Linked DNA regions of Struthio camelus. The protein of the gene in region 1 interacts with the protein of each later gene in a biochemical or structural test. Links are inferred from orthologs where the notes say so. Each region holds a gene or a part of one and is shown on either strand. Other genes may lie near its edges.

Region 1 (3,903 bases):
TGAATAAGGAAAAGGATATAACACAGAGCGCAACTGTTTTGGTGCACATCTTCAGCACACTTTTAGTGCATCAGTGCCCAATATCCCCAGACGTTTACTTAAACAGATAAGCTCTGTGCTAATGTACATCATCCATATCACCGATACAAGCACAGGAGCACTGTAAAGTTGACAATATATTACTTTAATATCAGCCACTTTCCCCACAAAAGCAACATGGTACAACTGCCCTGTTATTAGGGGACAAGAAGGACTCTTTACAAAGAGACACATCACAGCAGCTCAAATAACCCATTTTCTACGCACTCTCTCCCCCTGATCCTTGAAGAAGTGGGTGGCCATGGTAACGTGGGCTATGGTGAAGACTCCTTCAGCTGAAAAGATGACAGAGAGAAAGAGAGTTATTAGGAACCCCAAACTGGGAAACAAGCTGGTGTGATAGAAGGCGCAAGGCTGAGACTGCCTATTAATGGGATACATGGGGCAGACAAAACAGCCCCTGGGAAGAGAGAGGAAAGGAAGCCAGCTTCCCTGCTGCAGCCCCACAGCTCCAGCCTACTGAGGTGCAAGGCAGGCCCCAGCCTAGGGTTACCACAATAATCAGCACCCACAGGCCTTGCACCTTCCTTCAAGCCACCCCGGCCTCTTCAGGAAGCCCTTCAGTAGGCCAGACCTGCAGGCACAGCACGAAGAAGTCGCCGGGCCGGGCCTTGTGCCACGAACAGCCTCCCCAGTCCTCCCCACATGAGCCAAACCAACCCGTACTCTCCACTGGGGCAGGCTCATCGTCACACAAAAATGGCCGCCCCTGCCTGCTTGTCTCTCTAGGCAGGCTGGAGGAGCGCCCTCTCTATGATGCTCGCCGAGAACATTCCGAAAGCCAACCTACCCGTCCCACAGGCGCCTGCGCAGATCGATCCGAGGCGGAGCCTAGGGAGAAGACAAGAAGAGGGGGTGGGGCAGCAGCCAGCGCGTGCGCGTTGCAGGCCGCAGGGGCCGGATGAGACGCGCGCGCTCCCCTCGGCGCAGGCGCAGTAGTCGCGGTGGGGGGCCGGGCGCGGGTGGGCGGTGCCTTGTACGAAGGGCCTCGACGAAAGAGGCGGGGCGATGCGGCGCGGGCGCTCCGGTGCGCCTGCGCAACGCGTGCCCGCCCCCTCCCCTGCCTTTGTTCGGGGTTGGGCGCCATTTTGCGCGGCGGCTGAGTGGAGGCGCTGATTGGGTTTCGGGGACCGGTAGCGGAGCCAATCAGCGCGGGACCCGAACCGGGGGAGCGAGGCACGGTGAGTGCGAGCAGCCAATATGGAGCCCCCGAGCGCCGGCCCCAGCGCCGGGATTGGCGGGGCCGAGTGGCCAGTCAGGAGGCCGCTCGCAGGGCCGGGGCCGGCCGGCCGGGCGCTGGGGGAGGCGAGGGGCCGGGGCCCGGCTCCTGCCGGGGGGGGGGGGTGAACCGGGAGGAGAGGGGCCGGGGTGGGCCGGGCCGCGGGAGGAGAGTGCCTGGGCTGGGGGCCGGGGCGAGCGTACCGGGCGGTGCGGGCGCGGGGCCAAGGGCGGCAGCCGTGGAGGGGAAGGCGCCGCCGCGGGCTGCGGCGGCCCGGGCTGCTGAGGGGAGATGCGCGGCAGCGGGCCCGGCCTCCCTCGGCGGGCCTGGCCTTGCCCGTGCGGGGCCGCTGGGACGGGAGCCGGCAGGGCTCCGCCCTCGAGCGGCCGGGAGGGGGGAGCGGGGCGGGCGAGCCTCTCCGCTGGCCCCGCTGACAGATGGGCCGCGGGCGGCCCGGGCTGCCCCTCCTCCTCCTCTCCCCCCCCCCCCCCGCCGCCCGCCGTGCCCGGGGGCGGGGGGAGCCGCCGCCTGTGCGCCAAGGGCAGGTCGCTGCCTCCGCCGGGGCAGCGTCCCCCGGGTTCCGCCCCCCCCCCCCCCCCCGGCCATCGCGAAAAGGACCTGGATGCCAAATGCCGCCGGCCGCGGGGAGAAACCGCCTCGCTGCGGGTGCGAGGGGCCTCGGCGCCGCCTCTGCCGCCCCTCGGCGGGCTGCGGGGCACTGCTTCGTCCGCCCCGGCGCGGCCTCTGCCCGCAGCGAAAATTCTCCCGTCTCTGGCTCTGCAATAAAATGAAAACGTCTCTGGGTGAACTCCCCGACTTACAAGTTTGATAAGGAGGTCAGGAACGAGAGACGGACACCTCGTGGTGTTTCCTGTTGAACAGCAGGAGATAAGGCTGTGGCCTGTCTGCGCTGTTGTTTAAGTGAAATCCTGTTCTTGGCTTTGTGCGAGTGTCCTGTCCGTTGAGGACAGTGATCGCGGGGGTAGGTTGACAGGGTCCGTCCTAGAAATTTCTGCCAGTTTAGTAATGTTGCTTCAGGGTGTGACACAGTTTAAAATGATGCTTTCATGCTAACTCAAGCTCTGGCATAGATTATCACACGAGCAATGTCTCAGCACAGCTTATCCATGTGGGGAGCTGTCGATGTAGCTGCTGTTAGGATGGTGTGTAGATGAGTGTATATATGTATATACTGATAGAACTAGAGCACTAAGTCGTGGCCAGTGCGGACAAGGGCCTGGCAGTAAGGCATGTGGAGGGAGCTCACTAGTGAGATCAGCTGTGGGAGGGGCGTGCTGTCGCTGATCTTTAAAATTTAACTTTGACAGAGCAACGCTGACTCTGTTTTAATGAAGAGAATGAAACATAATCCTGTGGAGGACTGCGATCCAGTACATGTGAAATCTTCCATTGTGACGGGTTAGCTACGACCCTTAGGATTGCAATGTTACTTATGTTTTAAGTAAACAGGACAGGGGCTTGATGTGAGGGTCTGAGAAGAAGTATTCTGGGATATAAGTAGGTCTGCGCTTAATTACTGGTTGTGGCGTTGGGGAAACCAGAGAAGTTTTGGCCAATGTAATTTAGTGGCATCCCGAGCTTGCTATTGGAAATGCTTCCATGAAGAATGAAATGTGGGAGCTGTTTTCTGACAGGCCAACACACTTTTAGGGAAGAGATTAAGTATGCTGGGCGCAATGAAAACCTTGATAGACAGAAGCAACTCAGAAAGAATATTTGTCTCCTCTTATTCTGCGGAAAACTGTTGCTAATGGGTCAAAGATAGTTAAAATTGCAGCAAAATTTCTGTGCTGTGACTCAGATTATTTTTGTTGTTTCCAGCTTTAGTGTTCTTGCATCTTAATTCTGAACAAAATACCTGATCGGGACCGAGAAGGCTTACATTATTATGGCAGTTGTGTGTCCTGCAGTGAACTTGCTTCTGATCTGTCCTGATACATATTGGTTAATCTTTTTTTTTTTTTTTGTGAGTAAACAATACTTTGTGTTAATGAACAAGAAATCAATGAAATGTAAAAACATAGCATGTTTTCTTAGGTCGCAGTGAGGAATAACTCTATGAGAAAACTGAAATGTTCTTAAGATGAATGCAAGACACTTAAGTACAAAGGATATTTTAAAATTAAAGAGCAGGAAGTAAGAGAGGTGTCATTACAGTAGTAACCACAAAAACTATTACGGTTAGTGGAAGTTGTGGCTAAATGTTATATGCATTTCTTTGAACGCTGAAAGGACCTGTTTTTTTATTGCTTTAAACTTTGAAGATGAAGGTCAAAGACTGCTTTTTCACTAGTGTAACGGGTACTTTTCCAGTTGTAGCATAAATCAAATTCCTCATTAAAAGTAATGGTAAGAATTCTTTCTTTGTTGTTCAACTAAGAAGAGAAGAAATGTGGGGAAGAAAGAGGTAATGGAACTAAGTATTTTATTTCAGCAGTGTGTTCTTCATATGTCTAGGCAAGGGTCCAAGAAAGGAGAGGTAGTAAAAGGATAGAAGCAATGAGAAGTCTGCTGGCTATTTTCAAATTATACAAAAGTGCGAGGAGAGGGGAGAGATACAAGGT
Region 2 (3,903 bases), on another chromosome or scaffold:
TTTGCCTGTATTTACCTACAATATAACTTAGTTCAGTTGTTTCCTTGGGTATGTTACGGATGCAAGTGTTGTCCAGGATTCACCTGTACCTGGAAAATAAAAATTCCAGATTTCAAGAGTGCATGTGTATGTAAGCGAAAAAACGCTGTATGCTGATGCTGAATCTGAAAGCCACAGTAGAGGACACGTTCAGTGGACAACAGGAAGCTTTCATCCTCCAGGGAGAGGAGAGGGAAAAAATTATTGAAGCAAAAAAATCCTTTTTTACCACTTCAAGGTGAAGTTGAAAGCCTGACATCCAAAATGCACCTTTCACCAGGGAGTCGCTGCTAGCTCATTGTATGGTAACTAGGAAATTTCTTACTTGAACTTTTTAAAAAAAAAAAAAAAAAGCATGGCAAACGAAGAATCAGAAACAGTGTTCTGCTCAAAACTTCAGAGTTTTGGTTCAACTTTTATGTACTGCTAGCCTCAGCAGGAAACAGTACCTATATTGTTTTAAAAATGTATAGATGTGTAAATCTTAAAGGTTGGTGTGATGCTATTGCTTTTTTTTTTTCTTCCTACTGTGAGGAAACTTAAATTTTAGTGTGACCCCAAATTGCAAACTACTGCTTAAGATTAGTATGTTAAACAGAACGTTTCAAAAAGTGCGTGTGGCAGGAGTTAAACTAAAGCCTGACTAACCCGTTGAGGGGCGTATTAACTGAAGAGGTCCTCTTTCCCCAAGTTCTGATAGGAGGTATAAAAAAACCCACGTTATTTGGTTTTATAGTTCCCTTCCCCCCCCCCCCCCAAAAAAAAAAAACCAACCTTTAATTCTGTGCCAGTTTGTTCGAGCCCGGCGCGGGGGTGCTGGGCCGTACGCTAACTCCCTGCTTTGGTGACAGACTGGCCGTCGCTAACGCAATCTCAGATTTGCAGAGAAGGAAAAGCTGTGAGGTTAAAGCCGATGCTAGCTTTAAAAAATCACATGCACGTGTACACAGACACACGCACGTACACATATAGGTACATATCAGATTCACATCCCTCCTATGTATGCGGAGATCTCGGTTCAGAGGAGTTGGTGGAAGCTGCTGCTGATCCAACGCCGCCTCGTTAACGGTTTCTTCCCTGTCGCCTCCAGGGCTTCTTCTGCCTTCTCCCGTGCCCGAGGCGCAGCCCGGGGCCGAGCCGCTTGCCCCGGCCCGCCGCGGGGAGCCGCGGGCCGCGCCGCAGGTGCCCGGGCAGGGCCGCGGGGGCTCCCCGGGCCGGGGCCTGCGGCGGGTGCCCGCCGGCCGCCTCACGGGCGGGGCGGCGGAGCGGCTCCGCCCCCGCTCCCTGTGAGGGAGGCTGAGGCTCCGGCCGCCGCTGCCCGGCCTCCCCGCGCAGCCCGGGGGCAGCGAGGCGCCGGGAGGATGCGAGTGGGCGCCGCGGGCCGCGGCGAGGCGAGGCGAGGGCCCGGGCGGCCGGCGGCGGCGGCGCTGGGAGTTCGCGGCTCGCTCGCCGCCCCCCCGCCGCCAAAGAAGTGCAGTAGTTTGTGAAACGCAAGATGGCGGCGCGGCCGTGAGGGGAGGCGGCCGGCGGGCGGCGGAGGCGCCGGCGGCGGGGGCGAGGAGGCAGCGCGGCGCCGCCAGGTAGGGGCCGGCCCCTCCGGCGGGGGCGAGCGGGCGGCGGGAGGCCAGCGGGCGCCCCGCGGCAGGCGGCGCCCTCCCGCCCGCCGCCGCCGCCGCCGCCGCAGCAGCAGCCGGCGGGCGCGGGCCAGGTGCGCCCCGCGGGGGCGGCCGCCGCCCCACCGCCGCCGCCGCCCGCCCGCCCGTTGCGCTGCCCGCGGCGGCTCCGCGGGCGAAGTTTTGGGGAAGGCGGCGCGGAGGCGCCGGGCGCGGCCTGACGCTCCGCTCTCCCCCGCCGCAGGATGCGCAGCGCCGGCGATCGGGAGCCACTTCGGTAAACGGCGCGACGGAGGCGGCCCTGGATCCCCGGGAGGACTCGGGATATCCGCAACAGCGAGCGCTCCCGGGCAGGTACTTCATTTTTTGCTTTCCTGCTTTCCCCGTGCTTCATGTTTTGAGCCGCTTTGCTTTTCTTGGGGGTTTAAATAGCCGAGGGACCAAGGGGCTCGCTTTGCACCGGGCGCCGGTGAAAGCGGAAAGGCCGGGGTGCGGATGGGTCTGCCAGCTGGAAGAGGTGCCGCTCGGTTGTTTTTTTGTTTTGTTTTGTTTTTTTTAAATAGAGATGAGCAGAGAGCGTGTTGGGAACGTCAAAAGTGCGTATGGAAGTGGATTTCGTTATGGAACTTGTGACATGGACACTGATGTTTTGTTAAAGTTAGAGACGGGAATTTTTAGAAGCTGCCCTGTTGGTTTTGACCAGCAGTCGTCTTGTTTGGTTTTGTTCAGAAGGATTTCGCACGCAAAAAAAAAAAAAAAAAAAAAAAAAAAAGAAGCTTTGGGGCTCGCGTAGAGACAGAAAAGAGCCCGTTCCAGCTGCTTAAAACAACCCGTACGACGCAAACTGTAGGGCTGCCCTAAGCAAAGACCTCTTTGAACGAGCACGCACCGTCAGGAAACCCTCCCGTCACTGCGTTGAGACGTGGTCAGGGAGGCAGCGCGTTTCAGCTGTGAGGTTCCACAAATTCCTCTCAGCTGATGAGAAATAGATGCTATGTTTTATAGCGGAAACGATCTGCCGTTAACTTTCAGGTCCTGGCACTTGCTCTGTCTTTGCTAGACTGACAAGCCCTCTGCTCTCCCCTTTTGGTTAGCATAGGCGTCTGCTGCGATTGTCCTAAACTTGCCTTTGTTAAGCATAACGGTTTGAGGCAGCGCTCTTCCTTGCAAGGCCTGCTTTCCTACTCTCTTAATGGTTCTTAGGAGTTTTCCTGGATTCTGTCCTTTCTGACAACACCCTTGATGACCTGTGCGTGCTTCAGCCTCATCAAGTGCTCTGGCGTCTAGCCTTGACTGCTGTCACTTACCGTTCTTAGTTACTGTTGGAATAGAGAATATTTATCACTGCCTATGAATAGGTCGTTGGAGACTTCTAAAGCTGTTTGTTGAACATCTCTGCCTTTTGTGGATTTCTCGGTACTGAAGCATCACTAACAAATAATGGACTTTGTACTATGTCTGGGGTTTCTCTTTGTTCCTAATGTACTGAAAAGACGGTTTCCTTGCATCTTTTGCTTCATTTAACCATGTGTATCTTTCGACTTAAGCTTATTACTGCCTCTGAACTTTGCCACTTAGTTCTCCCCTTTCTCCCATTTGTTACGTGTAGTGTGAAAGAGAGGGTTACAGTTTGATTCAATTTTTTGTCTAGTTATGTTTAACCTTTGCGGCCGTTTTGTTTGGGAGATGAGTTCTTTGGAATTTAGAGAGGTCATATTTGAAAAATTATCAGTCTTATCAAGTCAGATTCTCTCTTTTAGCTTGAGTTCAGAATTTTTTTCCAGCTATATGAAGCTGGTCCTTTTAAAGCACCAAGTACTTACAAGCTGGTTTTTCATTCTGTTTGCACACAGTAAGTGTAATCAAATCATGCTCACTTGTAGCTAAGCTATGGCTCGTCTTTGTTTTGGTGTTCATTTGTTCTTTACCTGTCAAACTGAGGTCTAATGTAGAATTCCCCTGTGTCAGATGCAGCATTTTAATTTTATGAAATTATCTTCTCTAATTTTCTGAAAGCCTGAGCCTCTTTCAAAATTGACAGACTGATTCCTCTCCCCTTAAATTTCAGTCCTATGTGATAACAGTTTTGGGGTTGTGATGGTGGGGGCGGTTCTTAACGTTGTTAAGCGGGGTGCATGAGGCCCTGGGCGTTCTGATCTCTTCCGTAAATTAACGGTCAGTATTCCCTCTCCTTCTTGTGCTTTATATGTGAGGCCACTGATCCATAGAAGTCCAAGATGGTTTGCCCTGA

The links.
Region 2: the proteins of NFYA (region 1) and ZHX1 form a complex in vitro, tested with the Homo sapiens proteins (2 studies listed by BioGRID). The link is inferred for Struthio camelus from reciprocal best matches to the Homo sapiens genes NFYA and ZHX1.

Annotation. Positions count from the first base shown.
Region 1 is NC_090965.1:5,976,468-5,980,370, forward strand, and holds the start of NFYA (nuclear transcription factor Y subunit alpha), read left to right. Parts: upstream 1-1,149; 5' UTR 1,150-1,280; intron 1,281-1,521; exon of another isoform or gene 1,522-1,700; intron 1,701-1,936; exon of another isoform or gene 1,937-2,272; intron 2,273-2,600; exon of another isoform or gene 2,601-2,737; intron 2,738-3,294; exon of another isoform or gene 3,295-3,746; intron 3,747-3,903. Other genes in the region: ADP-ribose glycohydrolase OARD1, read right to left, coding at 307-374, 674-746. UniProt on the Homo sapiens protein: Component of the sequence-specific heterotrimeric transcription factor (NF-Y) which specifically recognizes a 5'-CCAAT-3' box motif found in the promoters of its target genes.
Region 2 is NC_090943.1:160,143,612-160,147,514, reverse strand, and holds the start of ZHX1 (zinc fingers and homeoboxes protein 1), read left to right. Parts: upstream 1-1,443; 5' UTR 1,444-1,619; intron 1,620-1,896; 5' UTR 1,897-2,006; intron 2,007-3,903. UniProt on the Homo sapiens protein: Acts as a transcriptional repressor. Increases DNMT3B-mediated repressive transcriptional activity when DNMT3B is tethered to DNA. May link molecule between DNMT3B and other co-repressor proteins.